Linked DNA regions of Caenorhabditis elegans. The protein of the gene in region 2 purifies or fractionates together with the protein of the main gene of each other region. This does not show direct contact. Each region holds a gene or a part of one and is shown on either strand. Other genes may lie near its edges.

What was found.
Region 1: the proteins of cct-2 (region 2) and mrpl-10 fractionate together in Caenorhabditis elegans (co-fractionation; one large-scale study listed by BioGRID). This does not show direct contact.

What each region holds. Positions count from the first base shown.
Region 1 is NC_003280.10:8,276,999-8,280,416, forward strand, and holds mrpl-10 (Large ribosomal subunit protein uL10m), read right to left. Parts: upstream 1,518-3,418; 5' UTR 1,517-1,517; coding exon 1,428-1,516; intron 1,385-1,427; coding exon 1,279-1,384; intron 1,228-1,278; coding exon 1,035-1,227; intron 989-1,034; coding exon 657-988; 3' UTR 529-656; downstream 1-528. Other genes in the region: slc-25A32 (Mitochondrial folate transporter/carrier), read left to right, coding at 1-107, 151-426; clec-142 (C-type lectin domain-containing protein), read left to right, coding at 1,688-1,745, 1,787-1,842, 1,890-2,004, 2,433-2,628, 2,678-2,902, 2,948-3,292, 3,374-3,418.
Region 2 is NC_003280.10:8,926,009-8,930,590, forward strand, and holds cct-2 (T-complex protein 1 subunit beta), read left to right. Parts: upstream 1-1,732; 5' UTR 1,733-1,736; coding exon 1,737-1,865; intron 1,866-1,910; coding exon 1,911-2,028; intron 2,029-2,086; coding exon 2,087-3,256; intron 3,257-3,302; coding exon 3,303-3,475; 3' UTR 3,476-3,807; downstream 3,808-4,582. Other genes in the region: B0457.2 (Glycine-rich protein), read right to left, coding at 1-22, 283-363, 482-539; mrpl-50 (Large ribosomal subunit protein mL50), read left to right, coding at 3,845-4,377, 4,431-4,582. UniProt on the Caenorhabditis elegans protein: Molecular chaperone; assists the folding of proteins upon ATP hydrolysis. Known to play a role, in vitro, in the folding of actin and tubulin.

The DNA.
Region 1 (3,418 bases), 650 kb from region 2:
TCACGGGTGTCATAGGAACAACACACGGAGCAGTTCAAATCGCAGCATATAGCTGGATAATTGATAAAAGATGTCAATCACAAGGGTTACCTAAAGATTCATTTTTGGTAAGTTTCAGAGAGAATCCAAGATTAGTTTATTTTATTTCAGAGTCAGACGGATTATGTTATCGCTTCTTCAACTTCCAAGGTTCTTGCCACAACAATCACATTCCCGTATCAAGTTCTTCGTACTAGAATGCAGGATCATAATACAGATTCTCGTGGAGTTTGGAAAACAACACTAAAAACAATACATAACGAGGGAATCGGTGGACTTTGGAAAGGATGTCTTATTGCAAATGTTCGGCAACTTCCAGCTGCTGTGGTCACATTCCTCACGTATGAAAATGTTAAGCGTTTGGTCGGAATGACGAAACAAATTTAGCTATTTATTTGTGAAGTTTAGTTTAACAATATAATTTTTCAAATAATCTTGTTGCAATAGTACTTTCTAGTTTTAGATTAGATGTAGTGTGTACAATAAGTATATTGTTTGTTGTTTTTATTCGGGTATTTGTTTAAATGTATTTTCTTTTTATAGCTTTCATGGATTTATGGTAATAAAAAATTCAATAACAAATCTACACTAGCTTTTCTGTTAAAAAAACGAAATTATTATTTTTTTGCTTCCTGGTTTGTGGAGATATGAGAATCCAAAAGTGATGGGAGATGACGTGTAACTGTATCCAGAGAAATTGTGACTTGCGCGACTTGTTGTCCAAGAAGCTGTACTGTATGTGCTCGAAGATCTTCAAGTGAAGAAAGTTTTGCTAGTTCGCGAGCATCCACCATATCCACAATTCTACCATCGGCCATCATTACAAGTGGTTCGATCCAATTAAGTTTATCGGTTTCTTGAAGAATTGATTTGATAGCAGAAATATCTTTGGCTAGAAGGATGGCGTTATTTCCAACAAGAACTGTGTTCAGGGATGACATCGGAGTTTCTGAATTTTAAGAAGTTATTATCAAAGTCACCCAAAATTAGCTTACTATCAAAAATCTTTTTCAGAATCTTATTTCCGTAACTTCTGAACTCGATATTCTTTGATCGCAATTGATTTTTTGCAAACCACAGAGTCCTTCCAGGAACTGGTAAGAATTGGCATACAGCCATCACACGAAACTCTTCCCTTACCATCCAATCACGAACCAAATTCGACAAGGCTAGCTCTACGTCGGAATACTGAAAATTTTGGGTCTTAAAAAAACTGTTCTAAACGCTAAAACACAAAACCTCTTTCGACTTTCCCGTATGTTCTCTCTTAATAAGTCCCGGTGGAATACACATGTTCACAGTTGGTGGGAGCTCCGGTTTTAACGCAGCTTCAAATAAACGGCGTCTAAAAATAACATTTTTGAGAATACTCTGTCATGAATGCTAACTTGAAATGTCGTGGAGTTGGACGTGGATACTTCGAAGAAACTGATCGCACTTGTACATTGACTAGTGGTCTTAACGACTGGTTTAACATCCTGAAAATATTAAACATATTAGAATTTCAGACAAACGAATTTCAAAAAGTAAAGATAAATTAATTTTTTGGGATTATTCACGTGAAGTTACTAAAGAGACGGGTATACATGTATTCAACAAATACATTTTATTGTGTTTCTTAATCAATTCAGTCCCAATTATTCAAGGAATGAATATACGAAATCTTATCTTTTTATCAGTCTTGACACATTTCACCGCTGCTTTCTGTAGGTTCTTTCTTCTCTAATTTTATATTTATTTATTTCAGTATGCACAGAAGATTGGGAACTGCTGAATGTTAAAAGTGGCCCAGTTTGTTGGGCGGTAAGAATCCTCAAATTTTTCAATTCTTAACAATGTATTATTTTAAGCTACTCGATGTCCCAAATTTTGACTCCAAATTTAGCTTAGCATCTAAAGTTTGCGAATCAGCGGGAGCCGACGTGGCTACCATTCACAATTGGGCGGAAAGATCAGTTTTTACAGGTAAAAATAATATAATGTATATTTTGTTTTCCACTTCCACGATTTTTAAGAGGGCGCAGTTACGCCGAATGGTCTCGACACGCGCGGCGAATTAATTAAAACACATGTGGTGTGCACCTTTAAGATTACTGTATTAATTTTTCTGGCAAATATTCTTCGATTTTTCTTATAACTCATACAAAAAACTATTATTACGCGTAGTAAGCATGAATTGAATACATAAAATTCATTTTAAAATGCAGAAAATTGGGAATGAAAAGAGAAAAATCGATGCCAGCAAAATTAATACTGTAAACACGAAATTCGTTCAATTGATTCGCCGCGCGTGTCGAGACCATTCCGTGTCGAGACCATATGCGCCCCTTTAAAATTATAGAAATGGAACAATATTAGATGTGAAACTAAATTTTAAAATCAAAACTCTTCAGACTTAACAAATCGTGTGACGGAACCAACATTAACATGCTACAAATCATCCCAATTTTCTATTGAAGGACAGTTTAAAACTATAGATTATGAAAAACCACCGGAATATTTGCGAATTCTCAATGAAAAAGGAAAAATACGACTAAGTAAAGGAATTAAACGGGGGGATCGAATCTCAATCAACTTTGCATTCAAAGCGTAAGACAGTTTTCTCTGGCACAAGATTCATCAATATTATTTGTTTCAGAAGAACAAATTTGAATGGCGTGAATGAGTTAACGGGAGAGATTAGAATTGGGAAAAATAGTTCTCATTACTCAATTAACATCAAGTGCACATTACAAAATTCCTCACCAACAAAATTATGCGAGTTGTCTCATCCGAACTTCAAGCGCCGTCATGCAGTTCAATTTTTAAAAGAAGGAATGGAGAATCATTTAACTGTTAAATACTTTGGTAGAGTTAATCTTGAGTAAGTAATTTTTAAGCTCGAAAAAAATAAGTATGATATTTCCAGCTTTCATGGAAATCGTATTAATTTATGGGACACAGAGTTTATACTTCCTACCGAGTATTCTTATGTTGGTATGGACGAAATATCAATTGAGAACTTCATTGTAAACCGTGTGGAGCACTCGAATAATTGTCAAGGAATGGACGAATATGAATTTGACAGACAGAGTATTTCAGTGGGAACTTTACCAAGTATCTTATTGAAAGACGAAAATATTCCTGTTCCTCGACGAACTCTCAACACTAGCACCTACGTGATTCCTGAATATCGACTGGACTACTACGATTTTGAAGGGAGTAATTCGTTTTTGTATGATATTCGTCTTTCTCAAGATCCAAGCATCGCAGGGTAAGATTCGAATTTTATTATTCAAATAATATCTAAAACAAGCTATAATTTTGTGAATTTTGGGAATAATTTTTCTTTCAGAAACGTGGCCATCGTATTTTGGAATAAGAAGTTGAAACAAATAAT
Region 2 (4,582 bases):
TTAGAGCTTTGAGCACGGCTATCTGAATAAAATTAACAATAATATTCCAATGCAGAAAGCCAAAAAGATTTGTTAACATTGTATTTATTCTAGGTTTGAAATAGAAATTGTATTCAATTAAGCTACAAATCCAGCTTTTCTAATTTGCAATAACTATCATAGATTGCAGAGGCTACAAATTCGTTTCCGTTGTTTCAATTACGTCACATTTCATTATCACATTCGTATTGTTCATTCGGATAAAAAGCGGTTTTGAACAGGAAATTCCTAATTTGAACTTACTCGGCTGACACACTTTAAGATGTGGTTCTGCAGCACACAATTCGGTTTTTGAGAAAGAAAGAAAATGATCAGAAGGTCGAGCTGAAAATCAATGGTTTCGAGACTGTGGTATTGACTTTGTGAATTGGTTTGTGGTCAACTACGAAATACAATGAACAAGTTCTTCCACGTAGGCTGATACATTTCTGGATCCACTAACCATCAATTGATAATATAGTTAATAGAAGTAACAGCTGACAAAGCGGTATTGACCGCATTGTTGTTAAAAAATGATTGAATGTTGAAGAATAAAGAAACTGTTGCGCGAGAGATGCGGTCCAACTAAAGGTATGCGTTTAGCGTCTCCATTTCTTCAATGTTCTCTTCTAACTTATCATTGTTTTGTGATGAAGAAGTCAGTGTCTGTATGTGTGTGTGTGTATGTGACCATATTGTCAGCCTTTTCTCGATGTGTAACTTTTTTTTAGAAAAAGGTCTTGTCTACAAAAACTACGAGACCAAGAAAAAAAAGAAACGGTTACCACTGTCATAATTTTTTTCCTGAAGGACATAATGAAATCCATGACCAACTTCAAAAGCAGACTTCAGCAAAGTGCAATTTTCATAGAGAAACTATAGTCAAACCATCAGAAGCCGTAGTTTCCAAGATTTCCAGAGCAGTGTTAATGGGCTCAAGCTGGAACGGAGAAGCCTGTCTACTACACGTGCCTGTGTTTACTGTTGTATTCGATAAGAAATCCTAAAAGTTATCAAACCATAAAATCTTGCGATAGACTATGGTTTCTGAACTGATATCGACCGTTCGTGGAAATTTGACATAGGAGCTAAATGTTTTATGATAAACCCTGGCTTTCTCTGAGCACTTTAGAATTTGAAATTTTATATAATTCATTTTCTACAAGAATTGAACAGATCTGTAAAATTTGGCACCTGTAGCGACCAACATGACTGAGATCGTGGCGAGACCCACTCAAACTTCGCAAAATTACAGAGTTTTTCTTCGTAAGGGAACAACATAAAAATTACTAAGTTTCATAATTTCAATGAGAGTTCGAACCATTCCAAACACACGAGTTTAATTTTAGACGGGTGCAGACCATTAAAAATATTATTCTAACTGGTGGCCGAGAAATTCGCTGGCCGTTCAGCAGACGCGCCCCATTGGACATTTAAATATTTTGAGTTTCGAGAAGGATTTTCCCTCAGTTTTCTATGAATTTCTGGAGATTTCAATTCGTTTTCACATTTTGATTACCGTTTTACAATGTTAAAAATTTTCCAATTTTATATTTCTTTGTGAAATCATAAAACTCACCTTCCTCATGCACTATAGGCCATTGAATTAGGCGTTTTTTAAATCTATCATTCACACAAATGTTTATTTTAGACGTTCTTGGATTAATTGTACATTCAAACTTTCTGGGTTTTTTTTTCATGTTTCGTATTTCAGCAAGATGCTTCCAGTCCAAATTTTAAAGGACAATGCTCAAGAGGAACGAGGAGAGAGCGCTCGTCTCAGCTCATTCGTGGGTGCAATCGCCATCGGAGATCTTGTCAAGTCTACTCTTGGACCAAAGGGAATGGTAAGAGCGTTTTGATTGTTAATCAAAATTAAATATTAATTTTAGGACAAAATTCTCATCAGTGGAAACCCAGAAAGCGCAGGAGGAATCAAAGTTACCAACGATGGAGCAACGATCCTGAAGTCAATCGGTGTTGACAATCCAGCTGCTAAGGTTCTTGTTGGTAAGTGCTCATTCACTGAATTTTGTTTTTACTTTTACAAACGTTTTGCATCTTTCAGATATGTCAATGACACAGGATCACGAAGTTGGAGATGGTACTACTTCAGTAACTGTCCTGGCCGCAGAGCTCCTCAAAGAAGCCGAGAAACTTGTCAATCAACGTATTCATCCACAGACGATCATTTCTGGATATAGACGTGCTCTCGGGATTGCTCAAGAATCCTTGAAAAAGTCCAGCATTGAATCCGGAGATAATATTCGTGATGATCTTTTGAAGATTGCCCGTACTACTCTTGGATCTAAGATTCTCAGTCAACACAAAGAGCACTTTGCTCAACTCGCCGTTGATGCAGTTTTGAGACTCAAGGGATCTGGAAATTTGGATGCCATTCAAATTATCAAGAAGCTCGGAGGATCCATGAATGAATCTTATCTCGACGAGGGTTTCCTTCTCGAAAAACTCCCTGGAATGTTCCAACCAAGAAGAGTTGAGAAAGCAAAGATTCTCATTGCCAACACACCAATGGACACTGACAAAGTGAAAGTTTTCGGATCAAGAGTGAGAGTAGATGGTGTTGCCAAGGTTGCTGAACTCGAAGCTGCTGAGAAATTGAAGATGAAAGAAAAAGTTGACAAAATTCTGGCCCATAACTGTAATGTCTTCATCAACCGTCAGTTGATCTACAACTACCCAGAGCAACTTTTTGCCGATGCTAAGGTTATGGCTATTGAACACGCCGATTTTGAAGGAATCGAGAGGCTTGCTCTTGTTCTCGGAGGAGAAATTGTTTCCACATTTGATTCACCACAAACTGCTCAATTCGGATCTTGTGATCTGATTGAAGAGATTATGATTGGAGAAGATAGACTTCTTCGGTTCTCGGGAGTCAAATTGGGTGAAGCTTGCTCAGTCGTTCTTCGTGGAGCAACTCAGCAGATTCTTGATGAGTCCGAAAGATCCCTCCATGATGCCCTTTGTGTTCTCGTTACTCACGTGAAAGAATCAAAGACTGTTGCCGGAGCTGGAGCGAGCGAAATTTTGATGAGTTCAGCCATCGCCGTCGAAGCTCAAAAGGTTGCGGGTAAGGAAGCCCTTGCCGTTGAAGCCTTCGGAAGAGCCCTTGCTCAATTGCCAACCATCATTTGCGACAATGCTGGACTTGACTCGGCTGAACTTGTCACAAGACTCCGTGCAGAGCACGCCAATGGACGTCACAATATGGGAATCGGTTTGTTCATTTGGAAATCTAACCATTATACAAAATTATCTTTCAGACATCGAGAAAGGAGAGGTTGCTGATGTTACGAAATTGGGCGTTATTGAGTCTTACAATGTGAAGTTGTGCATGGTTTCTTCCGCCGCTGAAGCCACGGAACAAATTCTTCGCGTCGACGATATCATCAAGGCAGCTCCACGTGCCCGTGCTCAAGATAACCGACCATGCTAATCAAATTGTTCGCCAGACTGTTAAAAGATCTTCAACTTTATTCTCCCTTTTTCAGCTTTTAATCGAGTGCTTCAACACAATCGTATCTCGTTTTTTTTCGTCCCCTTCATTCTTATTTTTGATGGAATTTGATACACTTTCTGTTGCTTCTGCCTACCGTTTTTATATGCCCCCGTTTTCAATTTAATATTCGAGAATACCGCGTGTTTTTGCTTGTTGATTTGTTTTCCTTTTAAAATGAATGGAGTGCGATTTACAAAAGGTACAATATTTGAAATGTATTTTATTCCAGTTTTTATCTGATTTTTTATATTTCTGATTAAAGAGAAAAGAAAAAGCTTAAAAGAAAAAATTTAGAACTGCCAAAAGATGCACAGGAGTTTTCCGAGGCTTGTCCGATCGCAAGGTAACTTGTTGAAAGGAATGTTTGGAAAATCCGGGGAAAAGGAAGCAGTAAAGCAGCTGACACTGGAAGAACAGGAGAGCCTTCGCAAGACGCTTCCCAGCATCCGTGCTAGAGAATCCACACAAGTTACTGCTTCAGCTGATTCTGTCACTGAATTTGACGATGATCTGTTGACGATGAGCCGTATCGACACGGATGCCATCCGGGCCAGAGGTTTTCTCAAATACACGCAAAACTATGTTCCCGGCGTTGATGTCAAAAACCAAGTACTTGAAGCAGCGTCATCATGTCTAAGAAGTGCTGGAGTAAAGTCTGAAAACGTGGATCAGTACAAATTTGTGGAAGGAGATAACTCTGTAAAGTTCGAGTTGTTGAACAGGCTGGGAAAATCCATCGAACATTGGCCAACCAATGGAAAACTTCTTCATTTGGAAACAGTGGCAGACGTCGTCGAATTTTATCAGACGCCTGTCAAAAATGTAACAAAATATACAGAGTTAGTTTTTGTTTAAAGATGCTTATTGAATTATTAATTAAAATAAATTATAGAATGGCTCGCGATGAGAACAAACCGAAAAACGTCTCGATTATGGAGCATGCTGCACGTTTCCATCCTGAAGACACTCACATGTATCATGGTGGAATCACTGCATTCCCAGGATCAGGTGGTGAAGTTCTCTCTCTGAGACAGAAACGTCTAC